Linked DNA regions of Schizosaccharomyces pombe. The protein of the gene in region 1 purifies or fractionates together with the protein of each later gene. This does not show direct contact. Each region holds a gene or a part of one and is shown on either strand. Other genes may lie near its edges.

What was found.
Region 2: the proteins of cdk11 (region 1) and lcp1 purify together in Schizosaccharomyces pombe (affinity purification with mass spectrometry, with the first as the bait; one study listed by BioGRID). This does not show direct contact.

What each region holds. Positions count from the first base shown.
Region 1 is NC_003423.3:1,785,246-1,801,437, forward strand, and holds cdk11 (Cdk11-cyclinL compex kinase subunit Cdk11), read left to right. Parts: upstream 1-9,735; 5' UTR 9,736-9,994; coding exon 9,995-10,849; intron 10,850-10,894; exon of another isoform or gene 10,895-10,907; coding exon 10,908-11,249; 3' UTR 11,250-11,434; downstream 11,435-16,192. Other genes in the region: ubiquitin hydrolase Ubp4, read right to left, coding at 1-503, 692-835, 896-1,003; SPOM_SPBC18H10.09 (zf-CHY type zinc finger protein), read left to right, coding at 1,087-1,169, 1,233-2,362, 2,398-2,672; splicing-associated factor Saf4, read right to left, coding at 2,802-3,191, 3,247-3,495, 3,541-3,801; PPR repeat-containing protein Ppr2, read right to left, coding at 4,139-5,437; RNase MRP subunit, ribosomal protein L7-like Rpl701, read right to left, coding at 5,774-6,400, 6,842-6,970; rps1402 (40S ribosomal protein uS11), read left to right, coding at 7,139-7,558; rps1601 (40S ribosomal protein uS9), read left to right, coding at 8,702-9,076, 9,248-9,295; vacuolar membrane cation-chloride cotransporter Vhc1, read left to right, coding at 11,769-13,509, 13,556-14,967; mhr1 (mitochondrial 54S ribosomal protein mL67 ), read right to left, coding at 15,486-16,013.
Region 2 is NC_003424.3:705,460-721,305, reverse strand, and holds lcp1 (cyclin L family cyclin), read left to right. Parts: upstream 1-3,426; 5' UTR 3,427-3,501; coding exon 3,502-3,632; exon of another isoform or gene 3,633-3,720; coding exon 3,721-4,366; 3' UTR 4,367-4,432; downstream 4,433-15,846. Other genes in the region: NADPH-dependent diflavin oxidoreductase Tah18, read right to left, coding at 1-1,240, 1,282-1,380, 1,418-1,515, 1,566-1,643, 1,725-1,859; mug65 (spore wall assembly protein), read right to left, coding at 4,685-5,083, 5,160-5,312, 5,585-5,723, 5,771-5,826; serine carboxypeptidase Sxa2, read left to right, coding at 7,292-8,815; cox4 (cytochrome c oxidase subunit IV), read right to left, coding at 9,156-9,538, 9,894-10,005; SPOM_SPAC1296.01C (phosphoacetylglucosamine mutase), read left to right, coding at 11,283-11,410, 11,476-11,561, 11,662-11,878, 11,967-12,327, 12,375-13,138, 13,179-13,251; DNA-binding transcription factor Atf31, read left to right, coding at 13,833-14,462; ATP-dependent DNA translocase Rdh54, read right to left, coding at 14,478-14,618, 14,654-14,902, 14,945-15,014, 15,054-15,669, 15,705-15,777, 15,816-15,846.

The DNA.
Region 1 (16,192 bases):
GTCAAGTCCTTACACGCAAAAAGACATTGCAGGACACAATTCATGTAACAAGTATTACCCAAATTCGTTAAACCTATAGGCTGATAATTTTCATACGATAAAGAACTATCAACTTTCTTAGGGTTCGCCAATTCCATGAAATGAGGATCCAACTTCAACGAACGTAACATCGAGTAAAGCTTGTAAGCCAAAGAAACGTCTTCGAAGTATCTTTCCAAACTGTAACAAATAACCATGCTTGGATGAAAAGGTGCGGATTTTAAAAAGTCATATATTTTTGAAGAATCCATCGATTGCAAACAGGATATTGGGATGGCAATCGTGTGCTTCGAAAAAACATAACCCTTTGAAGACTCTTGGGAATAGAAATTAAGAAAAAGAACTTTAAGTGATGATTTTTTTGATAGGGAAAGAGCGTCAGAGATTTGAATTACAGGCAAATAATGCTTCACCGCTAATTTGCTTTTTATAGTAAAGGCTTTGGAAACGGCTTGAATTGCTAACTAAAAGGACATGTTAGTATTCAAGATTGTAACTTGAACAAAAAATAAATTAAGTTTGCTTCAAAGATCATAATTAGTACAGTCTCGTCAACTATATCAAATTTATCTGACGAGAAGGCTAGGGAGCTTTGAATACAAAATTTTCGTGTTTTGAGCATTAAAAAAAATACTATGTACAATGTCGATACCTTTTGGAACTGTTTGAATTCTCCATAATGAGTAGACTTAACAGAAATCTCGAATCGGCATGGAATTTCGTAAGCAAGTTTTAGTGCTTTTAAATAGTAATAGTATGCTTTGAGTAATGAATTTTTTTGTTCAAGAGTTTGGGCCTCAAAACTGTTAGTAATTGAAGCACATTACTATAAACGGCACGGAAAAATTAGACATACCTCTTCAAGCCAGCGTTGTCCTCTGAAGGAACAGCTTTGAATCGTTTCATCTTCATTAATATAAACGAATGCTAATTCAAATAGTCTGTCGAAATAATCATCGGACATCCGAGGAAGAACCGAGTATTTGTGTTGGCGACTTAACCTGAATTGAACCAAATACTACAAGACTATAGCCTTTTTTGGTTATTATGGTTTCAATTGAAGCTATGAAGGATTCAAATTGGGACTTGCAGATACAAGTATTCCGGCGAAGGCTTAATCCGGAAGTTATGTAAGTACTAAGCAGGTTAGCTGTGGGTTAGTTAATGTAAACATCTTTATTAACTAGTACCAGAGAGGCAAGAAATGAGATTTTCTTATCCTTGCCCAGTGATCATGGATTGATTACTTTAGTTATAAATAAAGATAAACCGTTTCAAATATCGGTATTACTTGAAAAAAATCAAGAGTTCATGCAAACGGCAATGAATAAGTACGTTGAAACGGCATTTCAAAATCAGAAAACAACTTTGACAAGTTTATTTAATTATTTGTTACAAAATTGGAAATCATTTGAGACATGCAATACAAAAGAGCGTGAGTTGATGGTTCAACAAGTCGATTCTAAGAAACCAGAAACCCCAACTGACTTAGAGCCGTTGGCAAATAAGCTTGAAGGACCTCTATCAGAGAGGGTTCATTTGAACACTACACTTGACTATGAAGTACTGCGTGGTCAAAATCACTGTCAAAAGCAGAATACTACCCAAACAAAAACTACCATCTCTGGCTCTGAACAGTTATTCAATGATGAAAAGCCAAAAAAAATTATTTATTCAAAAGGAGGAAACGATGGGAAAGAAGATGATCTACAAAATGTTAATGAACCACAGGATGCTTACAGTAACGATCATGACATTCAGAGCAAAGACACAGAGCTTCTGGGTAACGAATACTGCTTAGAATGGAAGAATCCGCATTTAACTAATGTCGGTACTCTCAAAGCACCAATTTTACGTTTGGTCATAAAGTGTGTTCGGTGCCATTATGGAAGTGAAATTTCTATTGCTACAAAATTTTCTCTTGTTTGCAATAAGTGTAGTAATACTCTAAGATTAGTTTGGGTGCCTGGTGTGATTCACCCAAATAATGCCCGTTTAGGTATCCTCCATACTTTAGGATGTGTACCGGTTGACGTGATGCCCATTGACTGTCAGGTCTCTTGTATGGAATGTGTTGATGAGCAGATAACATCCTTTAAAGGTATTTCTTCCATGCAGCCCATGCTACAGTTTTGTAAAGTATGCAAAAACAGAATCTTGGTTGAACATCAAGATACCGAATTTCATTTGTTAAAACAACGACAAAGTTCAATGGGCGGGAAGGTGAGCGCAAAAAAGAAGCAAAAACAAAACTTAAACATTACGAAAGGATTGCCACTTCCCAATAATGGTGCTTGCGAACATTACAAAAAATCATTCAGATGTAAGTCGTTTATAAAATTCATAATTAACAATCAGGGTTTCGTTTTTCATGTTGTGATCGTGTTTATCCATGTGATGAATGTCATGACGCTGATCAAAATCATACATTTGAGCATGCTAATCGAATAATATGTGGGTACTGTGCCATGGAATCTTTCTACAAAAAGGATGCAACTTGCCCCCATTGTGGAAATATGACTGTGAAAAAACAAACCAGTGCCTACTGGGAGGGAGGAAAAGGAATGCGCGATCGCGTTCGCATGAGTAGGAAGGATCCAAGGAAGTACAAAAGGAAGCATCACGGTAATTAATTGGGTTGCATGACATCCATATTTTTTTGCTTCATTAGATACCCATATTGTATAAAAATTTAATGAATAACAAGTAGTTAATCTTTTGATAGAAGATACTTTTAAAGTCTTCGTATTTAACCAAAATAATTATCCTTCATCATCACTCACTTCATAATTGACGAGAGAAACCGAATTATCTTCAAGGATTTTCTCTCCCTTTAAATTTTCTGTAGGAAATTTCCTTTGCTCGCTCCTTAGCTTCTCGGAAGGGACAAATTTTCGAGCAAAAGGATCTTTTTTTGCGAATGAAGTCTCAGCAAACTTTGCAAAAGTCGAAAATGTTCTAGAAGAGGGCATTAATGTTCTTCTATAATCTAATTTCCTTATAAATTTATTCTTTCCTAATTCGTTATCTAGCAACAATAATGCCTTATCCTTGTCAGAAGAAGAGGGTGGTAATATATCAATGTCCAACGCTGCACGGTTTTTGAGAGATAGATCTTTAGCTTCTTGCTTTTTTTCAATTTTTTTCCTTTCCTAAGTTATGGGTTAGTTAATATGAAAATTTTAACGCAAAACAAATTCTTCTTACCCGAAACTGTTTTCGCAGCCTCTGAGAAGAAACGAAAGGATCCGACCAAAGCCTTTCATTTTTCTCATATATAAAGTTTATTACAGAACTATTATGCTTTTCTGACTTTTGCTGAGTTAATTGGGTTTCCAGCGCTTCAATTGCATCAGACGGCACCTTTTCGTCGTTTTCAGCTTTTGCAGGACGTTCATTGATGTCTTGAGGTTCAATTTTCCTTCTGCCTCCAGAAGCAACGATGTATTCTGTATTCTATTTATGTCAGTAACAAATTTGTTAAATTAATCAAACCAGTACCTTAGGATCCGTATGTACATCGATAGGGTTTGAGCATAAATGACATTTTAAGCTGAATGACCATATTTTCGTAGTATAGTATGAGCCAATCTCTTTTTTAACAGCATTGAATCTAGTGCCTTGTTGAATGATATTTTCACAATTGTTGCACCACACTGGAAATGGCATTTCAAACCGAATTACATTTCGTAATTTATCAAATTTTCTTTTAGCATTCGGCCCTTCCGGGGGAATATATTTCCCCATATTAAATCCTTGCATTTTTAGTGAGTATATAGCTCTTTATGCCCAAAATCAGTAGTTCCTAAGTTAATACTACGTCTAGGTGAAGTTCAGGCTAAATCAGTGGCATGCAACAGAAACATAATTATAACTCTTAGTTAATTCATGGCTTTTCAACAAACAATTTTAAATTACGTTTGCTAAATTGACGTTAAAATAATAAGGGTTCCATTCTACAGTTTCAAACGGACAAGGTAAACATGTACAAATAAATAAATTACATGACGATTATTTGAATTCATTTCTTATAAATTAATAGAAAATTATAAATGACATAAAAAGGTATCGATGAATTATTAAACACTTGATGATATTTTTAGGTTGCTTCAACGGGGACGTTCAATTTCTTGGCCAAGTCTAAGAAGCTTTTCGTGTAGCTATAAAATTTCGGCCTTTTGCATAATGATAAGACAATCAAAAATGTCTGCTGAGTAGGGAAAGGACCGTTATGCGACATCCTTTTAATGGTATTTAAGCATTCAGCTGCTTGGCCCTGCTGAACAAGGTTACGTAGCTTCTCATGATATACTTGAAGATTTAAATCAAATTTGTGACTTTCCTCAAAATACTTCCAATACCTTGCTAACAAATCACCGTTTTGTATTTGACGAATGACCTGTAATGCTGTAACCAAACTTCTTGAAGTACAATCGCAATATGGGGGTAAAGGATAACGCAAGTTGGAATCTTCGAAAATCTGATATTCCAATCCCATCACTTTTGTAAGAATATTTAACCCCACGTTTCTCACTTGAGGCGAGTTGCTAGTAGCCAGAAGTTTCACAAAGGAACAAATAAGACTTTCATCAACTGCTATTCCTTTCTTTTGGCATTCAAGGACAAAATAATTCCAAAGATTCGTCCCCATCTTTAACACTTCTTCACGTTGTTCCGGATTGAACATAGAAAAGTCGTTCAAAAGTCGAAGAATTTGAGATCCACTATAGAAATCCAATGTTTGTTTGATGGATGGAATAATCATTGACACCAATACCATACTTTTAAGCTTTAGACTACACTTGGATATAATTCGTATGTGATGCAAATTGGATGTGACATTATTAGACTCCTTGAGAGCACTAGCTGTTACCTTTTCACTATATTCACGTAGTTTAGAAAAATTTCCTTGCTTATTCTTTTCAATAGCATCGCAAAATCCCTTTAGAAGAATGGAGTATGTATGATCGCTAGGTTTTTGTTGGCGCTTTTTCATATCATTGTACAAAGACCAAGCAGCGTTGTAATGCCCTTTAGCTAAATGATATTGTAGTACAAGGTTATAGGCAACCGTCTTCTTGGCATTTGATCTCTCGTACAGTAAATGCAATGCTTTCTCTAAAGACTCTTTTTGAAGTAACGAAGATACATTTTTAGCCAGTTTGAAACCATCGTTTCTTATTAAGGATGACTTAGTTTTTTTATTTCGAAACTCATTTAGATTGTTGACTTGCTCCTTGAATTTCAAAGCATCAGCGATTAAAAGGCGCTTTCGTACTAATTTCCGCGCATTACTTACTGAAACACTATACGTGGTTGCAAATTCCCGCAAGCAGAAGCGGTTTAGGAGCAAATCGACAAAGGCCCTTCGCGGAAATGTCCTTTTAATGAATTGCATTAAACAAACCACTAGTTTATTCAAGTTTAGGATTAAAACCGCGTTAGTAGGAAGTAAGTTATAAAATATGAGTTGTTACGAATGAAGACACTACATCATTAGTTCAACCATCGTCTTATGTACAACGTTGAGTAAAAGTGCTGTTTGACGAGGTAAAATTACTATATGCACACAAAAGATTGCAAAAATGAGTTAACAAAGCTAATTACAATGAAAGTAACTACTAGCGATGAATTTACTAATAACACCTAATGACCAAAACAACTAAATCTACTTGTTGTAAATTATTTTGTCAAAGCTAGGAAAGATATGGTTATTTTTAACATCTACACCAAATTAAAGCATCTTTCTAACGAGAGAGTTAATATGCTCATCACGCTTGCCAGCATCACCACCTTCGATGAAATGCTTGAACTTGCGATCTCTCCAGCCACCCAAGGGAGAAGAAAGTTGGAAGGGCCAGATGAAGTTGGCAGCTTGCTTGAAGTTGGGACCGACGGTGTAAATTTCGTGAATCAAATCCTCGATAGACAAGATAGAGTACTTGCCCAAAGCAGCTTCGATGATAGCATTGTCAGAAAGAGCAATGCGTTGTTTGTTGACCTTACCAAAACCACGCTTGTAAAGGAGCTCACGAACAGTCTTGAGGTTAGGAATACCATAAGTAACATAAGGTTCAACGACTTGAAGCATTTCTTTGGTAGCCTTGTTAAATTTAACAAAGACACCGTTGTTGATTTGAATAAGACGGAGTAATTGCATGATCTTACGGGCCTTGGGAGGAATGTTGTTGATACCACGAATACGGATGACAAAGACCAACTTGGTTTCGTCAGGGACGTAGTAGTTGCCCTCAGCACGAGCCTTGCGACCGAGTTCGATTTGCTCACGTTCGGCCTTGCGGTACTCAGCATCGTAAGATTCGGCGCGCTTTGCAATGAGCTCACGCTTCTTTTGTTGAGCCTAAACATAACAGTTAATACAGTAGAAATTTTGTGAAATTAGAATGGATGTAATTTAGATGGAAAGAAATAAATAAAGAGAAAAGTAGAAAAACAGTAATCAGTCCCGAAAGATGGTAAATTGTGGAACGCGCACAGCCTAAGCTAGCTATCCGAAATTTGTTGTCATCATCTTGTTTTTCATATTTCTCAATTATCTGCTTTATTATTGCTTATAAAAATAAAGCAATCATAAAAAATTCCATGACAGGCTAAAGCGTTTGACTAATTTTTGGGAGGTGAAAACCCTTGCAAACCGATCAAAATGAATGTGGGAGGGTTCTATCTAGATGAAAAAACACAATCTGTAGTGTACTTTATAGATAAACTCTTCATCATTCAAAAGATTTCTGTACTTTATTCAATCCATCCAAAGACAAATATCCATAGACAAAACACTTACAGCTTTCTTCTCGGCAGCGGCAGCAACACGCTGTTCACGAGACTGCTCTTGGGTCTTCTTCTTCTTCAAAAGAGACTCAGGAGCAAAGATTTGCTCCTTTGAGGGGACCGTTGACGATGCTACAGCCATGATGGTGGATGTCTGGTGGTAAAGTTGGTAAGAAAAGACTAGTGGTCAACTTTTCCCATGAGCAGTCACAAAAGTTTCGACACAAATTTGTGACTGTTCCTTTAGTTTACACAGGAAGAAGCCCAAAACAAAAGAGATATCGCAGTTACCAAAAACTAACCACGAAAAATGGCTACTAACGTTGGCCCTCAAATCCGTTCCGGTGAGCTTGTTTTCGGCGTTGCTCACATCTTCGCCTCCTTTAATGATACATTCGTTCACATCACTGATTTGACCGGCAAGGAAACCATTGTTCGTGTCACCGGTGGTATGAAGGTCAAGACTGATCGTGATGAGTCTTCTCCTTACGCTGCTATGTTAGCCGCCCAAGACGCTGCTGCTAAGTGCAAGGAAGTTGGTATCACTGCTCTTCACATCAAGATCCGTGCTACTGGTGGTACTGCTACCAAGACCCCTGGTCCTGGTGCTCAAGCTGCCCTTCGTGCCTTGGCCCGTGCTGGTATGCGTATTGGCCGTATTGAGGATGTTACTCCCATCCCCACTGATTCTACTCGTAGAAAGGGTGGTCGTCGTGGTCGCAGACTTTAAGTGTGCTGTCGTATCTGCCAGTGTCTCGAATTTTATTTCGGTACTTTTCTGTCACATGGGAGGAATTTCACTGGAATTGTTATTCGTTTAGGATATCTACAGTCAAAAATGGATTTGTAATTTTCTTCTAAAAGTATTCCGTAGTACTATATTTGTGTATATTTGTATTGTTTGAATATTTAGAACTTCATGTCTTGTATCCTGTGAGCCACTGTGTTGGTGTAATGAAATTGCAAGTTGTGTTCCTTTAAAGAATTGACATATGCTCTTTAAGTCTACAATAATATTACAGAGTTTTAATTGGACTATTTTAAAGCTATCATTTTTGCCAATTAGAAAGGGATATATGTCCTTCATCAATTCACTCTTTCGTCCGATCACGGAGTGTCATCGGTGTATAAGGAGAGCTTTGTTCTCAAGATTATAATTTGTTGCAACGGTAGATTTTTCATATAAAAGTGTATTGAATAGCCCTTTTAAATGCACAGACATAATTCGATGCTTGTTTAATTTGCATTTTTTCTAAATCTTTTCACATGTAAACAAATTTATAAACACCGTTGAAAACCATTCGTAATCTTATATTTCACTGCATGTTCTTAATTAAATAAATTGTGATTAATAATTCTTATTGAATAATGTCCAGTGAGCTAAACCAAAAATTTGGTGTATCACAAATCACAGCACTTTAATCATTTTGCCTTGTTTGTTCGGACATTAGGAAGGAAATATAGTATGAAGAAAGCAATCTGTTATGCTCAATTTCGTGTCATTTCGGTTTTCATACAGAATATTTCCCCGTTCCCTCACAGTTCAATTTGTAACAAAGCAACCCAGCAGTAAATTCTCATAGACTTACGAAAATTTCAATACTTTCTGTCTCTACATTAACACTTAATGCTAAAGAATACCTCACGCGTTCTGCATTCTGTAGAATTCTACTTTTCACCTCGAACTTTATCACAGATCGTTATGCAGATCGTGCGTTACATTACGTTATTAGTTTAGTGCTTCGTATAATATATTTTATCGTAACAAAATAACTTTTGCTAATTCAGTGTGACTGTTTTTGCAAACAGGAACCATGCCGAAACTTTTTTGGCTTTCAGGACTACAACCCAGTAAAACTATCCACGAGCCAACATGCAGTCTGTTCAGTGCTTTGGAAAGAAAGGCAATGCCACAGCAGTCGCCCACTGTAAGGTCGGCAAGGGCTTGATCAAGGTCAACGGTGCCCCTCTCTCTCTTGTTCAACCCGAAATTTTGCGCATGAAGGTCTACGAGCCTATCTTGGTCGCTGGTGCCGATAAGTTTGCCGGTGTTGACATTCGTGTCCGTGTCTCTGGTGGTGGTCATGTTTCTCAAATCTATGCCATTCGTCAAGCCATCTCCAAGGCCATCGTTGCTTACTACCAAAAGTTCGTTGATGAACACTCCAAGGCTGAGCTTAAGAAGGCTCTCATTACTTATGACCGTACTTTGTTGGTTGCTGATCCTCGTCGTATGGAGCCCAAGAAGGTATGTGCTAAACGAAGAGAAGTTCATGACATCTTCGGAATCGATTTCTTGCACGATTTATTGTGTTGTCGAACTTGTTCCGTGTACAGAATGTTAATGATACTGTATCTCTCGATACGACATAACATTTGTTTCTTTTTTTTAGAATGTGTTACTAATGATTTTTTTTAGTTCGGTGGTCATGGTGCCCGTGCTCGTCAACAAAAGTCTTACCGTTAAAATGTGTTTGGCTGTTTGGCTTTTTTCCATTATGTATCTATACAATTGATTTATCATAAATATTGTTTGATACTGTGTACGAGCCAACCGTTGGTGTTTTCGTAAACCCTTATTCATAATTCTTCGGTATTGACATATATGAAACAAAAGTTCAGTGTACGAGAAAGCGACTGTAGAAATGTATTTAGAGATTTTAATAGTACTTATAGTTTCTATAGTGCTGTCGTGTAATTGCTTAGTCGATTAGGTGTAGTGGAAATTCCTTGTTCGGTATTGTAGGAATATCAAAATGGTAGATTGAACGAACGAGTTAGGTGAGTAGGGCCGCCGCCATATGATGGATTGTGTTTTTTGAGTGTTCAAAATTAAACAATTAAAGATTATTTAATTCAAGGTTGCTTCTTCTTTTTTAGTGTTTTGAAAATCTCTCACTATGCACTGTGCGACTGCACTTACGCAGGTCACTTCTTACTTTTTTAAATATCACATGTCGAAACGGCTTGCTGAAAAAAAAATAGGAGTTTTGATCATTTTACTTTTCTGCTAATATTCAGTTAGAAATCCCACAGTGGTTATCGAGCAATGTCATTTTAATTGAGAACAAACAAGCACCGAAAAATAAATCCTTATTTGAAGTAGATAGTTTTGCAAATCTAACGATAAATTTACTTGATAAAATTTGAGTGATTAGACACCATTATGGCAGGCTCCAAGTGGGAGACAGAAGAAACGAATCAATTCGCAATTGAAAATCAAAAATTAGAAGAGGAATGGCGTAAAAAGCGACGGTTAGAAAAAAAAAGAAAAAGAAAAATATTAGAGGAAGAAGAGAAAGCTGAAGAAAGAAACATTGATGCTTGCAGGCTCTACTTGATGGGGAATACACCTGAACTTAAGTCTTGCAATTCTATTGATGATTATGAAATATTGGAAAAAATTGAGGAGGGATCTTACGGAATCGTTTATCGAGGTCTTGACAAAAGTACGAATACCCTGGTTGCACTCAAAAAGATTAAGTTTGACCCTAATGGAATTGGATTCCCTATTACTAGTCTGCGAGAAATTGAATCACTATCCAGCATTCGACATGATAATATTGTAGAATTGGAAAAAGTGGTTGTTGGTAAAGATTTGAAGGATGTTTACCTAGTTATGGAGTTCATGGAACATGATCTCAAAACATTACTTGATAACATGCCCGAAGATTTCTTACAATCTGAAGTCAAAACACTGATGCTTCAACTTTTGGCTGCCACGGCATTTATGCATCACCATTGGTATCTACATAGAGATTTAAAGCCTTCTAACTTGCTAATGAATAACACCGGCGAAATCAAACTCGCCGACTTTGGATTGGCAAGGCCAGTATCAGAACCCAAATCCTCTTTGACACGCTTAGTTGTGACTCTTTGGTATCGTGCTCCTGAACTTTTGCTTGGTGCACCAAGCTATGGTAAAGAAATTGACATGTGGAGCATTGGATGTATCTTCGCTGAAATGATTACTAGGACTCCTTTGTTTTCTGGGAAAAGTGAGTTAGATCAATTATACAAGGTATGCGATTTTTGATTTTTTATTCTTACCTTAAAAAATTCCTAACAATAATATTAAGATATTCAATTTGCTCGGTTATCCGACTAGGGAAGAGTGGCCCCAATATTTTCTTCTTCCTTATGCAAACAAAATTAAACACCCTACGGTCCCTACCCACTCTAAGATTCGTACTTCTATCCCTAATTTAACGGGAAACGCGTACGATTTATTAAATCGACTTTTAAGTCTAAATCCTGCGAAGAGAATATCTGCCAAAGAAGCACTAGAACATCCTTATTTTTACGAATCTCCCAGACCCAAGGATCCTAAATTTTTTCCTACTTTTCCTAGTAAGGCCAAAGGTGAATCAAAAGAAAAAAACGTGTTTCAAAGTTTTCGTAGTGCATCTCCAAAGAAGTGATTTTGATGAAGTGAATATTGGCATTATAATACGTGGAAATGTAATTGGCCTTAATTTACACTACTTATATTACTAATATTTAGATATTTCTTTATTTTTTCCGTTTAGTCCCCAAATTGCAATTGTAATTGTAAACATTTTATGATATCATTGATTTTCGATTTATGGCCATTTATTTGAGTAAAATTTCTCCCTTTCTACAAAACGTTTCACTCATAGTGTTCAGTAGTCCTATTTTTAACTGAGGTAAGTGTATTCGAGCATCGATGTTTTCAAGCAAGCTGGTAATGAACTTTCATGAATTGATAGTAATCTGTTGCAAAGTATTGTCAAAAAATTTTTCTTATATCACTGCTGATGGTTTTACTATATCTATGGGACCCCTGTTTCTATTACATGACTACACTCACTCTTCCTTACCATTTCCAATTTTTTTAGTATTTAATAACCTTGACAGTTCCTACCACAAAATTATTGCCTTCCTTATTTTATATTTAATGGGGATAATTTTTTGTGATTATGGCAAGACTTTTAACTAAATCAAGTCAAGTATTTGATTTTTTGGCAGATAGATTATCAGTACGAAAATCCAGACGATTTTGGGAAACACAGGAAAATTTAGAGTCTTCCACACCTTTATTACAAGAACCACAACAAAGTTATCGTAGTAATAGTTTTAATGAATTACCTCCGTTGTCTAGAAGTGTAACGTTTGCTGAGAATGAACAACCAAATGAAGCGGTGAAATTGGGAACGTTTGAAGGTTGTTTCATTCCAACTACTTTAAACGTACTCTCCATCCTTCTTTATTTGAGATTTCCTTGGATTATTGGAGAAGCTGGTGTTCTTAAAACATTGCTGATGTTATTTATTAGTTATGCGGTAGGTATATTTACAAGTCTATCGATCTCTGCAATTTGCACGAACGGTATGGTACGTGGCGGAGGTGCATATTATGCGGTTTCTAGATCTATTGGCCCCGAATTAGGAGGCTCAATTGGTTTGATATTCTATGTTGGGCAGATACTGAATACTGGTATGAATATTTCTGGTTTTGTTGAGCCCATTATAAGCATTTTTGGAAAAGAATCAGGCACTATTTCACAATTTTTACCCGAAGGATATTGGTGGGTCTTTTTGTATACAACTTGTGTCCTCGCAATGTGTTGTATTTTATGTTGTTTAGGTTCTGCCATTTTTGCTAAGGCCTCAAACGCCCTTTTTGTGGTTATAATACTCTCAACAATATCGATACCAATCTCTTCGATATTTGTTCATCCTTTCAAAGATCCTTCCTTACTCGTTCATTTTACGGGATTAAAATGGTCTACGCTGATGAAAAATTTAGCATCTGCTTACACAGAAAATGAGAAAGGAACAGGTTATGAATCTTTTAAATCTACATTTGGCGTATTTTTTCCTGCAACGGCAGGTCTACTGGCTGGCGCAAGCATGTCTGGTGATCTTAAAGCACCTTCTCGTTCTATCCCTAAAGGTACTATATCTTCTCAAGCAACGACCTTTTTGCTTTATTTGCTAGTAATTTTATGTGTTGGTGCCTCTGTAACTCGTACGGGACTTTTACTTGATATGGACGTTATGGAACATATTAGTTTACATCCTTTATTCATCATTTCTGGAATTCTTTCTAGTGGCGCCTTTAGCTCGTTTATGGGTATATTTGGAGCTGCAAAGCTATTACAGGCAATCGCGCGAGATGATTTAATACCCGGAATGTTTTTCTTTGCAAAGGGTTCTAGCTACGATGATATTCCTTATGTTGCAATTGGAGTGACTTACTTAATTACGCAAATCAGTTTATTTTGGGACATCAATATGCTTTCTTCGATGATTACAATGACTTTTCTTCTGACTTTTGGCTTTATCAACTTATCGTGTTTTCTGTTACGAATTAGTAGTACCCCAAATTTTCGACCTACCTTTCGGTATTTCAATAGACGCACTACACTGGTGGGTACCATCTTGTCATTTGGCGTAATGTTTTACGTTGATCGCTTGAATGCCTTTATCTCATTTTTAATTGCAGGAATTTTGGTGGTAGTCATATATTTCACATGTCCTCCTAAAAATTGGGGTGATGTGTCTCAAGGCATCATTTATCATCAACTTCGAAAATACTTGCTGCAAACTAATAAAGCAAGAGAAAATATAAAGTTTTGGAGGCCTCAAATTTTACTTTTGATTAACAACCCGAATCGGTCAGAAAATGTTATCCGTTTCTGCAATTCATTAAAGAAAGGCATGTATACCGACATTTTTTGACAATACTAACCCATAAATTATAGGTTCCCTCTATATCTTAGGGCACGTTATTGTATCCGATGATTTTCAGGCTAGCATGGATGATTTAAGAAAGCAGCAACGTCTTTGGCATCAGTTTGTCCTTGATCGAGGTATCAAAGCATTTGTTGAACTAACTATTGCTCCAGACGAAGTTTGGGGTATCCGTGGTCTTATATCTTCTGCAGGCTTGGGGGGAATTCGTCCAAACATAGCTGTGCTAACATTTATTAATACGAATTATCGTAGACATCGTATATACTCGGGTTCTTCTTTCTCTCTTGAGAATACTAGTGAAGAATCAGAATCTGACAGTAAAAAAGAATTTGTGGAGCATGATATACTACCTGTGAAGTGGGTACAGATATTGGAAGACATGCTTGTTGGTTCGGTGGACGTTATGGTAACTAATGGGTTCGATAGACTTAATTGGCCAAAAAGAAAGGGAGAAAAGCAATATATAGATATGTTTCCCATTCATAGAATATCAGGTGTGGGGTCAGAAGTCAATGAAAGTACACCAACGTTTGCGACGAATTTCGAGACGTATACTATGGTTTTTCAACTTAGTTGGATCCTTCATACAGCTTCAGATTGGAAACAAGGTTGTAGGCTACGGCTTATCACTCTTGTTGAATTCGAGAATGAAATAGAGGCAGAACGAGAAAGCATGCATCAAATGCTAGAAACGTTCCGTATCAAAGCCGACGTTGTAGTGCTCTGTCTTGCTGCAATGAATTTGGATGCATATAGGTACATTGTCAAAAATGAGCATGTGAGACCTAGCAAGTCTTCCGAGCTTGAAAACTTACTGAAAGATGACTCGTGGTGGCAGGAAGAAAAGAAAAGAAGAGGAAATACTGTAGATTCCTTAGGACCTATTCGTTTTCCACGTCGTATGTCTGGTTATAACTTTAGATCTGCCAGCTTTGATAAGAGTGCTCCACCTTTAAGTGTGCCATTGAGTTTCCGCCTTGGGCCACATATGCATTCAGTAAAGTCGTTTGAGACTGAATCTTCTTTCGGAAACCGTTCTTTATCACCAAAACAAGAAAATAGAAGAACTTATTCTGACAGTACTATTGAGTCATCTCTGATGCCCAACGTGGTCCGAGAAGATAGTTCATCTGATAGACTAGCACCAAAGAAAAAAATAGGAAGGGACTATTCTAAAGAGAAGTTGACGTTTAACGATTTATCCTCGAGATCTCAATACATAATTATGAATGAAATCGTGCTGAAACATACTAAAAATACTTCTGTATTGTTTACTGTTTTACCAGCACCTTTGGCCGACACTCATAAGAGCTTTCGAAAAAGCGAGGAATATGTTGATGACTTATTAATATTTATGGAAGGATTACCTCCTTGTGCATTAATCCACTCTAAGAGTTTAACTATAACTACCGCTCTTTAACGATTTATGGTATTTATGTCTTTGGTTTATAAAGTCTTTTCTTTTGGCATTGTTATAACTATTTAAATATTTGGTCCATGATTTCTATTTTAGATGCTAATATTTTTTTTTTATTCTGGACCAAACTTTAAACAAAAAAAAAACGAGGCAATAAAGTGATGAGTTAATCTTGCATATATTTCATAGGAGCTCGAAAACTTCAAAATGGTAAAATAATAAAGATACGAGTATTTGGTGTCGATTTGTATTAAATTTATCTTGTCTTGAGTATCTAGCCAATACTCTCGCATTGAAGTACAATGATAAGCTAAGGAAGCTGTCCAGTGCAATACACTGGATACACTGGGAAGAATTCGTAACCGTCTTTAGTAAAAAGGACTTTATCATTAAGTAAAAAAGATTGAGCTAATATGAATATGTGTTAGCTTATACTTCATATAATGCCCTTTAAGAAAGCCTAAAAATGGATGAGGGGTGTTTTTGAAGGAAGAAAGTGAGAGAAGTAATGATATTATGCTTCATCTAGCTTCGTCTACGGTTGTTTTTTCACGGAAACCTCGCGAGAGTTTAATTTCCTCTGAATCAATCTGCACACTAGGGGGCCAATCTGCATATTCACTATCGGATTTATCACTCAGTTGCAAACGAACGGAATTTTCGGGAAATTTTTCTTTATTTAAAATATCTGCCAAGTCCGCAATCGTGTTAGGAACCTCTTGTCGCATTATTTTTCTTCTACGAACGGGTATAGGCAATTTCAAAAGGTCACTAGTCAGTGGTTGAACAGAACGATATTTTCGATAGTTTAACAGTTGCATAAAAACAGATTGAAACATTGATTCATTAGGAAATTCGACTTTTAGTAAAGGAACCCAATGGTCTTTACGGAGCTTAGCGGGTCGCATACCATTTGGAGCGACTGGCTTTTGAAGTGGGTAGGGAAGTTGAAACAACGCAGTCTTTTTTAAAACATTTCCTTGAGATAAAAGTACCTGATTCGTTTGAATATGCCTAAATATATAGAGATACTTGTTCTTTTCAAGCATTCTTTCCTTTTACGAGTACAGATTGGCTGTTTACATATATGCTTGTAAGAGATGCGAAGTTTGTTAATAGCGCGTCCGCGTATAAACGTTGTGCCCAATAAACACATATCGTTTGCTAGCACAGATGTTAGGCAGCATTGCGCGTTGAGCAGCCAAAAACAGTAAATGTTTTAATGATA
Region 2 (15,846 bases), on another chromosome or scaffold:
CGCGTCTTTCACAGAACTAGGCATTTTGCCCGAAGATCCACTTACAAAGAACATGCCATCTTTCTCATTTAATAAATTATATACTAACTCGCCATTTTCTTGAATTGAGTGTTGCACGTATTTCTTTTTTTCTTGATCGCGTGAGAAAGCACAAAACAATTTCAGTGTGCCTTCTTCGGTGTATTTTTCCCAATCCTTTTCAAAAAGAAAATCCATAGATTTGTTTCTACATCCAAAAAACAGAAGATTTTCTTTTAAGCCATTATATATTCGTTCTTGAATTAATGCTCTTAAAGGTGCAACTCCTGTTCCTGGGCCAACCATAATTAATGGCTTATTACTTTGGTAAGATAGATTTAGAAATCCGGGAAGAATATCAATATTAAAAGAGGTATTTTCGTGTAAATCACATATCCAACGACTGCATATACCTTGTCGAGGACTTTTCAATATAGTTTGATATTTCACCAGCGCTACCGCCAATTCCAAAATTCCAGTAGAATTATCACATCTATTTGCTATAGAATATTGACGTCCACGAATAACTGGAAAGGCATCTAATGCATACTCGATAGGTATTTGGACAGATTTGAATTCCTGAAGAGTTTCCAAAACAGTCCTTCTAGGCCTAGTTGTGTAATCATAATAATCATCAATGTTTTTGTAAGAAGAAAATTCTTGAAGACGTTCTTTATGCATCTTATTATTTGAGAAGTGAGATGCCATTTCAAAGAATGTTCTTGATGGTACTGAATGGATTGAAAGGACGTATTTCACAAGATTAAAAACGTTCAAAATATTTGGAAACCAGGGAAGCTTGCGTTCGGCAACGTTGGAAGAAATAATCAAAGGAGAGTATTTTATGGATTCCCAACCCATGCATTCAATGAACGAGTTAACGCTCATATCATCATTCCAAGGATAAAGAACAGCAACGTCTCCTGGCTTCCACCTTTCAAAGTTTGGAATTTTAAAAGCGAGATGACGAACATCTTGCCAATGCTTTATATTACTTATCCGTTTATTATGTACAAGAGTTGCTTCAATTTTCCCACGAGAATGGCGAACAATATTATTATCTTCAAATCCTTTTACTTTGCAACCTAAACTTTCGTCTATAATAATTTGGAACGAAGGCGGTAGCAAATCGAATTCTCCGAAGGCTGGACGAGAGGGGGTTTTTATGGCAGCCAGTTGAGAATATAAGTGATTGCACCAATATGCAAAAACACCTTCAACACTGCAAAAAATAAGTAAGAATACTTATTATCATTAACTTACCCATCAGGATGCTGTTCATCACCCTCACCACGCGAACTAAACGATTGTGCACCCAACTGGCGCAACCGACTATCCAATTTTTTGGAAGCCCAATTGAATCTATATGTTATTATTCTCTCCTTTGAAAATAAGTTACCTCGTATATGAAGTGTCACCGCAACCAAACACCGCATATTGCATATCATTTAAGAAAGTGTTGGGTAGTTTTTTTCTTAGTAAGAATCTCCAAAATTTCTGCTCTCACATTAGTATCTAAAGACAAAAGAAAATTTTTATTCACGAACCCTCATATTAAGGGGCATCTCCCCTTGACCAGTTGTACTGCAAATAAATACACATTGAAGTGGACGCAACAAATTTTCCTATAATAATTAGTTAGATCAAACTTTCATTATTATAGATACATATATATATATATATATATATACAGCTACTATGCTTACTAAGTTGAAATCATCCATCGAATTTACCAACACATCGTAACCCATTCGTGTAAGACTACGAAATAGTGATTCCGCTAAACCCTCAGCGGTTCCAGTTTCGGAACCATATAATATGTATATGTGTGAATTTTTCATTTTTCTTAAGTTTGGATTGAAATTTTGGCGCAGAAGGGAATGCGGCACCTTGCGCTCAGTTTGATAAAGGTACGTGCAAGACGAGTAGTGCGATAGTGTAAAGCATTATGCCAACTTAAAGCCAACATAGGAATTCCTTAACGCTACCAATTAATTTTCTTAAATTTAAGAAACGTTTACTTTATTAATTTTGATGGTAAAACAATTTGTTGATTTTGACTATTGCCAAAGTGGGTAATAATTTAATGAAAAACTAACAAACTTAAGAGGTCTTTGCTTTACAAGATTTCTTTTTGGCGGTAGACGTTAAATATAAATATGCGTAGTTTATCTTTTTAAGAGCGATGGTAATAAGTAAAATACTGCTTATCAAATACTTTTGTTTATTGAACTTTTAGTAATTCCTTCGAGACAATTTAGATCCAACAGCCGAATCCTAAGTTAAAGCAACAACGCTGAGTTCCATTAGATTGCCGAGTGCTTTGATCAAACACGCTTATGGTGAGAGTATTAAATGGCGCATTGTTTATGACTTTCCAGGTAGTAAGCTCTTTCAGTAACGACAGCTTAATTTATCAGATCACATAAGATAGTAAACTCAATGTCGATCCCATGCAACTGAACATATTGAATATTTGTACAACAAGTTTAAAAATTCAGATGCTAACGATTGTACGAGAGAATACAATAGAGATTTGTATAGCAAAAATGTACTCGCACCATTGAAGTTTACATATTGCAAAAGGCCCTATCTGAATTGCTATATGGTATTGAGTTACTTCTTTAACATTTAGTTACCACTAACATATAATAGGTTTTTTTTGTCTATAAAAAACATGTAAAAGATTAGAAAATTAGATTTAAAGGCTTGTCAGTGAGTTCTTGATATGAATTTACTCAGTTAAACGAGATTTAGATTTAAAATATATCCAAAAATAGGAAATTTATTTACAATGTTCTAAAATTCAAACTTAAGGTCCAATCTCAACAATCACGAATAATAATAACAATAAATAACCAGAATTGTTTCCAGACAATCACAACAAGGTCATTCATTGTCGCATACACTAAAGTAAATTTTAAGTTTTTATTTAATGTAGCAATCGACACTTCTATTTATACTCTCGACCGATATTTAAGATTGCCAGTAGCTTACCAGAAAAAGTACTATTTTCTACTAAATTTTAACAATTTAATTTTTAATTAACAAAATTTTACTGTACATATATTACATTGTGCAACAAGCAATCAACGGTTCCGTTGTGGTCCAACGGCTAGGATTCGTCGCTTTCACCGACGCGGTCGGGGTTCGACTCCCCGCAACGGAGTAAATTTTTACTACTACTAGAGTAAATCACTTTTTGAATTAAAAGCAAAATTAATGTTTTGAAGAAGTTACGTTCATTGTATTGTGAGAATTTAGAAGATTTTATTTGATCCTGAACTACGAAATTCAATTCAAAGCGAACCTTTTATTTAATGGTGCAATTTGCTACAAGTAGCAATAATTTGCTCTAAGTGACAACAATCGCTCAGCGAAACTCCCACCGTATTCTTATGCAAAAACGCAGGTCATGAACGGGGTATGGGAATATCGTGTTTTCGGTTAAGTAAATAATTCTGATTCTTGAGGAATATTCTGATGGCAGATTCTTTGGTACATTCCCTTGCCTCTTCTTCCCAGTTAGAAGCCTTTGATTCTTTTGAATATGCAGAGGAACTATGTACATTAGGTTCTGAATGGATTCAGGAAGCAGGCGTTCTTTTGAATCTGTAAGTCTTCTTACATTTATTTTCCAAAGCTTTTAGTAGCCGGATTGTGGCGATAAAATGCATTTGAACTTTTTATTAACATTGTTAGAACTCAAAATTGTGTAATTGTTTGTTTGATTTTGTTTCGAAGATACTGCACACTTTATCCGCCGAGAGTTCCCGATCTTGATGCTATCGTTATGGCTTGTGTGTCCATTGGAAGTAAAACTACCGAAACTCCAGCTTCTGTACAAGACATATGTAATGTTGTAGTCTATCTTAAAGAGCGTTTCAAGGACACGAATTTTGAAGCACGAGGATTCATTGCTCACGATTTGTACAGTGAGGAGATGTATAGTTCCAGGAATAGATTATCAAACATGGAATTGGAGGTCTTACGAGCATTGAATTTTGATACCCATATTGTCATTCCTCACAAGCTGGCAATTCATTATCTACAAACATTACAGCTAATTGATAACAAAAAGCTTTTACAAATAACATGGAATTTTTTAAACGATGCTAGCCGAACTCGACTTTGCGTTTTGTATCCTCCGTTTAGTTTGGCATGCGGCTGCATCGCAATGGCAGCTAGAGTTATCGGTATGAAATTACCCAAAGACTGGTATCGAGTCTTTGATACTACAAAAGAAGAAATCGATTCTTTAACAAGCATTTTGGAAAATTTTTATAAAACAAGCGCTATTGCTCATAAAACATTGTATCTCATTTTTACTGAGCAAGTTTCTGCTTAAAGTGTACATCTTCCTGTTTAACATTGCAGAATGGAACACAAATATATCCTTATTTAAAAAACGAGAGTATTCATTAATTGTATATACCTTTCTGTAGTAGTAGTGAGCGAATTGTTAAGATACAAGTTAGCGACATCAATTTTGCAAACTTGGCTATAAATAAAGCATAAACAACCATTAAAAAAACACGTGTGTATCTTTAAGAACGTATCACATCTTTCAGATCCTTTTCGTTTATAGAGGAAAGCATTCGAGGAAAGACGATAATAAACTAATTGAAATGGATACAGTCAGAAATTAGTGGGCTGATTATCTTGTTCAATCCTGGGGAGTTGGAGATTCTCGTAAAGCCACTTGGGAGGTAGATGCTTCTGCCGCAGTCAGCGACGCATTTAGGAGTTCATTAGCTTTACGGCAACTATGTTCAAAAACAAAGTTTTTGAGAAGGTCCTTTTTGCAGTTTTTTACATAAACCTTTTCATCTATACTGGCGGAAGCCAAAAAGGTTGCTAGGGCTTCCAATTTTTCACGGTCAATTCGACTATCCTGAAGAGCGCGTAAAAGGGCGGGAATGGTGGTAACCTCTGAAAGATCAAAGTCCGATGAATCATCTTCAAAGCTGCTTCGTGTTTGAGTACTTGACCTTTGTATGGGATATGAAGAGGAGATTGTGAAGGACTCTGGAACAAGAGGAAGTTCATCTCGTCGCAATTCTTTCTATAGAAAACGTTAAAATATGAACGGAACGAATTTTCAAACTAGCACAATTAAAGTAGCCTGTGATGTATTATACCTTTTTTCGCTTCCGGATCCATCGTCTGCGACGAACAAACGAATGAAGAGAAACCGGTTTACCATGCCAATTGTTCATGGTAAATGAAAACCCATACTGCCAACCTGATTCATCGACATCGCCGGACATGTCAATATACCAACGCTGCCATGCCTATACATTTAAACTGCTTTTTTGGTAACACATCCATTCACAAATTTAGCTAACCAAAAGCAAAGAACCAAATGAAACTTAAATAATTGAGCCAAAGGATGGTTCAACTACAGCTAATTTCATTGGTGTAAAACAAATAGCTTTCTTAAATTCAGAGAGGAAAATGTTACAACAAAAGCAGTATATTGTTAGCAAACAGTTTTCAAGCAAACTATATGCTGGTCTTATCGCTATCGTCCTAGAGGAAGACAGAGAAGAAGTTATTGACATACCCATTCCCAACTAGGATCAGGACAAGTTGCTGTTTTCGTTGAGACAGGAGACGCAACAAAATGCTGATCAACCCAAGGAGCAGGGTCAAAATTCAACAATGATTTTTCAGAGAAATAGGGTACCCCACATAGCATAATACTAAGTATAAATGTTTAGTTTCAAACTGCAAAATTGCTTTGTCATACCCACGTTGATTTTCGTAGAGAATATCAAGATGTGAAGTCCTTTCAGATTCCGTCATCTATGCAGGATCTTATTTAGTTCCATCTAGAAATTAAGAGAGAAATTATAGGAAATAAAATCTATATTAAAAAAGAAATTAATTAAAAGCTGTTTATTATAAAGATTATGGGGTAGTGGGTTCTTTATTGTATGTGCAAAACGGCGGCCGTTTTGACAACAGCCGATTTTTGGTGTTTACTAGCTAAATGACGCAACAAGCTACTAAACAATTTAGAGAATAATATTTGGTTAAAGTATATTGTTAAGTAAACAACAAAATGTTTTATATAAAAAACTTCCCCATAAAAGCAAGTTGCAGACAGAATACAGCTGTGTTTGTTTGCAATGTTTTTTTTGGTGCACCAAGTTACTATTCATTCTAGGACGGATATAAATATTAATAGAAACTGTCTTTCGAACATGAAAACAACAAACTGAAGCTCTTTTTACCAAAAAAGTTTCATGATAAGTTTTTTCATGCAATTGCAATAATTTCTATACTATAATTCAAGAACGGATCAACAGAAAAATTGAGCTACATGGCTAGAAATCCGCCATTGTGTGTTTTAACCATGCTTTAAGAAACATTTATTTTTTTCATTTAATTAATCACTATGTTTATTAGTATATTGTATATATAATTTTTAATTTTTTTCTTTTTCTTTATATTTTTATATTTATTTATTTTTATTAGTTTTTAAGTTTCTCACATAATATTTCAAGGTCTTTAAAAAGAAATAGTGTTACTAATATATAAATGTATTTATATTTTTTTAATTTAGTTATTTCTTATTTTTCATTAATACAACTAAATTATTTGACATTGATTTTTTCTTGTTATCTATCTATTTTTTATTTTATTTCTTTATTTCTAAGGGCTAAAGCCTTCATAGCAAAAGTCAAATTATTCGATTCCACCGGTCATAAAACAATCAATTTTCTCCATTCTTTGAGTCGCCTCGCATTGTTAAGCATTAAGAATGCATAAATGATCGCTGCTGAAATAAGCTGGTTTTCGATTTAAACAGACCATAGGTTATTCTAGTCCTACCCTATTCACTTGCCGCGTAAACGAAACAATTGGTTTTTTCATTAAGGACTATTGTGTTGAAAAACTTAAATGAATTAGCCTATTACTAGTAAATGGTACTTCGCTGGGTGTCTTTGTTGCCCATCTCTATTGTTGTTGATTGTAAACAATGGACAATGCTAATCTATTCAAGTGAATCCCCATTATTATGTATTATCATATATAGCATGCAACTCTTATGAAAATGAATCAGATAAACAATCCGGTTTCTTTATTCGAGTAAGTCATAGCATTTTCACATTTTTCGAAATACTGAAGCGTATAAAATTATAGTCACTTTTCAAGAATTGTTTCGAAACTGAATACATCAATATATTCCAAATATGATAAATATTATATTTAATTTAGCGCTAACGCTTTTCTCATAGGCTCAAAATCATTGTCTCTCTTTTCAATGCTGTCTTTATTTTTGAAATCTCTTTTTGCTATTATAATAATTGAATTGACTATCATTCACGCTTTACCAACTTACACTGTACATTGGAAATGCAGTATACAACAAGCCAACACGAGTTCTGCTTCCTCGAATCAGACTGTTCAACCTAGACAACACGCTGCTCCTTCTTCGGATCGAATTAAATCACTTCCTGAATTTAAGGGATCATTACCGGAATTATATTCTGGATACTTGGAAGCGAATTCCGATAAATCACTTTTTTATACATATGCCCCTGCTGTTGTTGATTCGGAAACTTTCATAGTATGGCTTCAAGGAGGACCTGGATGCGCTGGAACATTAGGCTTTTTCAGTGAAAATGGACCCATTGAAATATCCCAAAGTAGCCCCTCACCATCCCTTAATCCTGAATCTTGGACAAACTTCGCCAACATGTTATGGTTAGATCAGCCATTTGGTACGGGGTACTCCCAAGGACAGGCGGCATATACAACTACGATTGAAGAAGCTTCTTCAGATTTTGTAAATGCCCTGAAATCATTTTACCAAAAGTTTCCCCACTTAATGAAGAAAAAGCTCTACCTTGTCGGCGAAAGCTACGGTAGCATATGGAGCGCCAATTTTGCAGAGGCATTACTTTCTGAACCATCTTTGAATATAAATTTTATGGGCGTGGGAATCGTCAGTGGACTTACGGCGGACTACGAAACTCAAGAACAAATTACTGCTTCTATTTGGGTGGAACATATCAGCAAACTTGGATACTATTTTAATAATACTTCTTCCACAATATCTGAAGAGTTTAAAAAGCGCAATAAAGAATGTCAATATGATTCAGTTTTGAACAGATTGACGTTTCCTACTGAACAATACCCAATATGGAGACCAGAGTACAACTTTAGCACATCTACTTCTCTAAGGAAGCGGGAAGCTCTCGATGGTGAAGACATTGGGAATGTATTTAATTCAATTTCTGGATGTGACTTGTATTCCCTTTCTAACTTTTTACTTTATCTAGAGAACAGCTGTGTCATAACTTATGATGTTAGCCTTGATTGTAGTTTCAATGAGTATAATGATCCCTTAATCACATACCTGAACAGAGAAGATGTTCGCTCTTCTTTACATGCTACGAAAGCTTCAACTGCGTTGACAAGCGGCGAGGGTGTCTTCGCAGACGGATGCAATTTTGACTTATACAAAAAGATTGTGAGTAACAACGTAGAATCAGTTCTCGTTGAAATAATTCCACGCTTAACAGAAAAATACAAAGTGTCTTTCTTAGCTGGGGCATTGGATCTTCAAATTCTTTGGACCGGAACTCTTTTGGCATTGCAAAATACAACATGGAATGGATGGCAGGGATTCACTCAATCTCCTGGAAGTTTAGAGACAACTAATGGATTTACTTTGGATGAACGTAACTTAGCCTTTACATTGTCCAACTCGGTTGGGCACATGGCTCCATCTAAAGACCCTCAAATGGTTAGAGAATGGCTTGAAAATACGTTGCTTTATTAAAAGTTTAATATCGGAAAATTTAAAATACAAGTTTATTGACTTACCACTGATGTGGTATATCAATAAATAACTATCGTTTATGAAACTCGGAACGATAATTAGATCATATTTCCGCATGACTACAAGAAAAAAAGAATGGTGCTTGAATTAACAACTAAGATATGGTTGAATAGATAGAATTATTTATAAGATATACGTTTACGAATAATCGAATCGTTCCCAAAATAAGAAATAGATCAGCATACAGTTTTCATTGATTTTTCAAAGTTCAAATAAAAGAGCTAAATTGTTATAAAAGAGTATGAAAATAGCAAGGGGATATGGAAGATTGGTAAGCATACTAATGACTGTGTTCAGCGTTGGGATCTCCCATGAATTTTAATTTGTATACAGATCCGCATTCAGGACAACGGCGGAGTTTGTCTTTGTAGACAGTCATCCAAATTAAATTATGTGAACCAGAAGGACTACCAGTACAGCCAATATGACGGTAAGGATCAAGAGAAGTGACCATTATAGGATCCGTCAATGTGCCTTTACGAGAAGCATCCAACGGTTTCATATCAAATGCATCTCTCCCTGAAAGCTCTGATAAAAGTTCATATCGTTCCAAACCAGTGGCTTGCTCCAAATCAGTTGGAACCTCGCCGTCACGACCACCAGGTCCGATCAAATCAGAAGGTTCCTTAGCGTTGGCTAATTCTTGAGCGGCGGCTTTTACAACTAAAAGAATGTTAGTGAAGGAGATAAAAATTAAGCTAAAAAGCCCTAAAATGTATCGGCAGCACAAATTAACAAGTCATATCTACTAAGCGACTTAATAGATGAAATAGAAAGCGTTTTAAGAGAGTGGGCTATAGGCAACGTCGATTTTCATTCTTTTGATTACTTTTTAGGTCTGTAAAATATAGAAAAGAATGAATGGGCACACAAGCCTAACTTCCGATATATAATTAATAGCAAAACTGTACATCGGAGATCAAGAGTCAACGGAAGCTTTACTCCTATAGCCAGTACTAAACAAGCTTTAACCATTAAGCTGCTATGACAAACTTTACTAAGCTTTCAAAGGACTTACCGTTTTGCTCATTACGGCGGATTGAAGCAGAAACAAAGCCACGGTACAGAGAAACAGTACTCCTGACCGCTGCTCTTTGTCTGGAGACACGAAGCATAGAATTCATAAACATCTTAAAAGACAATTATTGATGATTTATAACCTGATAATGGGTGAGATGGGGTGTTGTGTAGTTTCCAACGTTGGTCCGGTATTGTGTAACGAAATTTGGTAGGACAGCAAGCTACAACAGAAAAAAAGATGAGAAGGTTAACAAAAAACGGAATTATTTCTTAAACAGTTACGAATAAGATGATAATGGGGAAGTTCCAATATTACTATTGCCTTAATTATATTGTATAAAAAACGAGTAGTATGAGATGTCCTTTTCTTGATTGACTATCGGTGCTCATAACTTGCTAAACATATCTGAGTGTTATAATTAAAGGGATCATTGCTATATTTCTACTGATTGTTTGTGTTTTTTAAGGTTCATGAGCTATACCCTGGAAGAAATTGACTTAAATTGTTTTGTTTACTCATTTCTTATACAACTCTTTATGAACTAGAGGTTTAATGTATCATGTTTGCCTCGGGAATATTAATTATTTTAAAAGCAATATGACCGAAAGAAATAAATTCCCTAGTGATGAACGATTTTCAGGTCGTTCATTTTCGATCTTGTCCTCTCAATTATTACAATCCGTTTGTTCTATTGTTTAAAGCAAACATGCATACATTCTCTGTATATTACTGACCACATTGTGTTAATCAATTAAATCTAATACGAAATACTATTTTTTAATACCTTTTCGTTGGTTCATTTAGTCGTTTCTTTTCATCTAGTTTATTCACATTAAATTTCATAGCTTTTCATAATAATTGTAAAAAACGTTGAGGTGTCTTTCTGCTATTTTGTAGCTAATTTACAGAGTTAACTATTGAGTCAACCAACTAAGTTGTTTATTTAGCAACTTCGAACATAACCCAAGCGATGAAAACCAAATTGATAAATATTTATGTAATAAAGAAAGAGGAAATATGTGAAGCTTTTATTAACTTCGTAGACGTTAAACTATTCCCAAATTTCCTTCTAATAACGAATATGTATTACGCAGTTCATTATTCCGCGATATTTAAATTGCCATAGTTTGGTGATAGTTGACGCGTTTGGCATCAACTTAGTAGCAATCCAGTGCTTATTCGGGACTCGAATATATCTTGAGAACACAAAGTCATATCTCTTAACTTCTTAAGTGTACTTTTTTATTAAGAGAGCTTTGAGGTCAACCTGTTTTCTCGAAGCTTAGGCTTAAGTGACTTCGTTCTTCTTCCATTCATAGTTTCGATACTTTAACAAGTTTTTTTTACAAAGGATCGTCAGACTTCTGTATCGATATTTTCCCCACTATGTCTGATGCTGAAGACAGCGATTCGATTGTAAATGAATTTGTAACGGCAATTGTTCGAGAATCCGATAAGTTTGCCAAAGTGCATTCTTATCCCATGCAGTATGGTACTGGAGGATATCGCGCTGAGTACGTTGATAAAAAAAGAAACTTACTTTTAGTTTAAATGGAAATTATTAACATTTTATTTATAGCGCTGAGCTGCTTTCGAGTGTTGCTTTTCGCACAGGCGTAATCGCCAGCTTTTTGTCAGCCAAATTGCATGGACAACCTGTTGGACGTAAGACACATACTTTTATTATTGCGAGATGATTCATTTACATATTGATATCCATCTTGTTCCTTTGTATTTCTTTGAGTTTACTTACTAACAATCTTAGTTATGGTGACTGCCTCGCACAACGCCTCTTCCGAAAACGGGTTAAAGATCGTAAACATTTTGAGTAGCCTGGATTCTAGCAAATGGGAAGCATACCTGGATCAAGTAGTAAATGCGGATTCCGCTGACGAATTAACGGTTTGTTTAACTTCAATTTTGAAAAAGGCAAAGATTATTCCCGGTTCTGAAGCTCGGGTGTTTGTTGGCTATGACTCAAGGTTTGTTTTACTTTTATTGTCGATATTAGATCACTTAATTTCTCCGCTTTTTTAAATCTTATGTCCAAGACTAACATCTAATACTTAGGTCTACTTCAGAAATCCTTGCGCAAGCTGTAATTGACGGTATTGTGGTCTGCAAAGCAAAGTACGAAAATTTTGGCCTTTTAACTACACCTCAGCTACACTACATGGTCAAGGCTTCTCAAACTTATGGTACCCCAGATGCAATAGGTGAACCTACTGAAAGAGGGTATTTTGAAAAGCTGTCGAAGGCATATCAATCCTTAATGACAGGAAAGAAGATTAAAGGGACTGTATTGATAGATGCTGCTAACGGCGTCGGAGCGGCTAAGATAAAAGAACTGGCCAAGTATATTGATCCAAAGCTGTTTCCTATCGAAATCGTAAACGACAATATTGATAATCCTGAACTGTTGAATAACTCGGTAAGTTTTTTTGATACATTGTTTACAATTGCATGCTAATTTACTAGTGTGGAGCGGATTTTGTAAGGACTCAGCAAAAGCCTCCAAACGGTATTAGTGCCCCAAAACATGCCCGTTGTGCCTCTTTTGACGGGGATGCTGATCGAATTGTGTATTTTGCGTTTGGCTCTCACAGCTTTCATCTGTTAGATGGTGACAAAATATGCGCTTTATTTGCCCAATTTCTAATCGACCTAATCCGTTCTACTGGTTTGGACCTTCAAGTTGGTATTGTTCAGACTGCTTATGCAAATGGAGCCAGCACGGCATTTTTCCAAAAAACTTTAAAGGTACCGGTTTTATGTGTGTCTCCCGGTCTTAAGCATCTTTACCATGCTGCTCAAGCTTACGATGTTGGAGTATTTTTTGAAGCAAATGGTCATGGTACAATTTTAGTCTCTCATGCTGCATTATCAAAGATAATTTCTCATGAAGTATTGTCTCCAGCCCAATTTAATGCCTTAAAAACTCTAAAAACAGTCTTTGAATTGATTAATCAAACTGATGGAGATGCTATTACTAATTTACTTTTGGTGGAAGTCATTTTGGCTCACAAAAATTGCACTTTGAAAGAGTGGAATCAGCTATATAGCGAAATTCCTAGTCGTCTAATTCGCTGTGAAGTAGAAGACCGGTCAATTTATACTACTACTGATGCCGAACAAAAACTAGTAACACCGGAAGGACTTCAAGAAAAAATTGACGCTTTGGTAGCAAAATACACGGGCGGTCGGGCATTTGTTCGATCATCTGGAACCGAGGATGCTGTTCGGTAAGTTCAATGTTAATTATCATTCTAACTCTAATTGTAGTGTGTATGCGGAAGCTAGTTCAAGGGGTGAATCTGAGGATTTAGCCCTCCGCATTGTTGAACTATTACATTAAACAATTTTTAAATTTAAATGTTAATGACTAAATTGGTTATGATGGAACTGTCTTGTTTAATGTTGTTTTTAGGGATATCTAGTAATAATTTTGGTTACCCAAATTCTTATATAATATCTAACAAAAATATGTGCATACATATGCGAATATACTTGTATACAGTTTGTTGATAGTAATTTTTTAAAATAACCAGGCATTATAATTTTGTTGTTGTGTTCACAAGAAAAAGTGTTTGTTTACATGGACTTCCTCACAATGCTTGAATTTAATATTCCCTCATAAAGGACTTATATAAACCTCGCGTGAGCAAACAAACGCTCATATTTGTATCAAGCTGTTATAAAGGATATTGACGGAAAGTTCAATAATTCACCTATTTACCAGTTAATCGGCATTATCCAGCTGTACAAATTTTATCGTTTATAGTGATCACTTTGAAATCGATTATTAAAAGAAGTTGGTGCCAAAAACTCATAAAAAAAATCAAATATATAATTCTACTCGTTTGCGAAAAAGAAGTCTTTCATAAGACGCTATAAATTTTTCTTAAAAAAATTATTGATCAATAAATCATTTTCAGCATGACCTACGAAACAAATACACCAACCGAGGAATCCATTATTCCGAAGCATGAAGATGGAGAAGAATACAACTCAATTTATCTTTCTCGTTTCGAAAAAGACATCTCAATTTCCCAAACCCTCGATTTTTCACAATTTATGCAAACTCAGATTTTATTGACAGCCAAACGTAAAGCTTTAGAGCTCGGCGACGATCGATCCCCTATTAACAATGATCCATATAATATCAGGAGAAGCGATTTTGATGAATTATCAGAATACACTGCCTCTAAAAGCCCCAGTATAATTTCCGAGGCTTCACACAACTCACCATCACGAGAGCTGGATGACTCAGGTGATGAAAACACTTCCAAATTAACTGGAACTAAGCAGTCAATGTTGAAAGCCAGAAACAGACAAGCTGCCCAAAAGTGTAGGATAAAAAAGAAAAAGTACTTACAAACATTACAAGACCAAGTCAACTACTACACTTCTGAAAACAAGGAGCTTTTGCAAAGTGCTAATGATTTAAGAGAAGAAATAATTAAACTGAGAACCTTGGTGTTTGCTCATAGAGATTGCCCAGTATCGAAGGCTTGCTCAAAAGCGTTGTTTCTAATGGGCAAGGAAAAACCGCTTACGCCTCCTTAAAAGTCCGAAATAGATCTATTCGAACTTTTTATGCATTAGACAGTTGATAGGTAAAGGCTCAAGAGGGATATAATCTTCTACGCCATTCATAATACTTAGGTCATTCGGAAATTGCCAAGTCCATCCTTGAAATGCGTTCTCTGGACACTTTTTCCCCTGGCCATTAATATTAGGATGAAAATACAACTTACCAAATTAGTATCCATATATTCAGAAGCCTTTTTCCAAGAACTGATTTCTTTATCTTTTTCCTTCGTATTTGGGGAATCAATCGTATGGTCAATTTTAGTTAACGGATCTTTTTTCTTTGTTAATGAATCAATTTCATCAGAATCAAATGCTAATTCATATGTCAAGCAAGTTTCAGTTTTTGAATATGAAAAAAGTGTCTTGATGTCTTCACCCGTAAAAAAATTCTTCTTTTGGCTTGCATCGGAATCCTACAATCAAGTCAGTATAAAATTTTATAATAAATCACATACTATGAACGAACTTGAAAGCCCTTGCTTAGTATTTTGGCGAATAAAAATGCGCTCATCTAGCATTCCACTGCTGCATAACTTAATATGTTATTCGTAAAAGCGGTCGTACCTTAAAAATGTGTATATACAGACTGGCCGCTTTTGCCCGCTTCTATATATCCTTGACAATGCTTGCAAATCTTGGGCAGGGTTCCAACTTGGTTCGTAAATTATTAACCTAGTGGATCCGGTAAGATTTAAACCGCAGCCACCAGCTTTGCTTGAAAGTAAAAGCACACTAAATTCTTTGAAGCTGGAAGTATTGAAATTGTGTACTATTAAATCACGCTCAGAGAAAGGAGTACTTCCAAGCAATTTACAGAAACGGACATGCAAAATTGATAAAAACAATTCAATCAACTCGAGAGTTTCTTTATATTGGGACACAATAACAGCTTTTTGGCAACCCCTTTGGAAACTTTTAAGTAGCGCAGCCAATATTTGCAGTTTGCTAGAGGAGAGCAACATATTCTCTTGCTCGAATACATGCTTATCTTGCAACTCCGTTGACAAAAAATTTTCCTTTTCATTTCTCAATAAAATGGTGCTATTGCATATCTTGCTCAAGCGAGTCAAAATTTTAAGATAATAGCCCTTCTGATCAACGCTTGACTTGAAACCATCGAGAACATGTCCATAAACATTCTCTTGTTGATGTGTTGGTTTTATGAATAAAACAATGTCGGCTATTATGTTAATACTGATTTTAATATTTGCATACTTCTTGGCGGTAAATGTTTAGCCAGTATATTGGCTTTCCTCCTTAACGTGAAATTGCTTGTAAATTCAAAAAGCTAAAAATCAGTATAAAATTTATCTTTAGTAAACAAACCCTTTGAAGTCTTGCAGCTCCCAATGATATG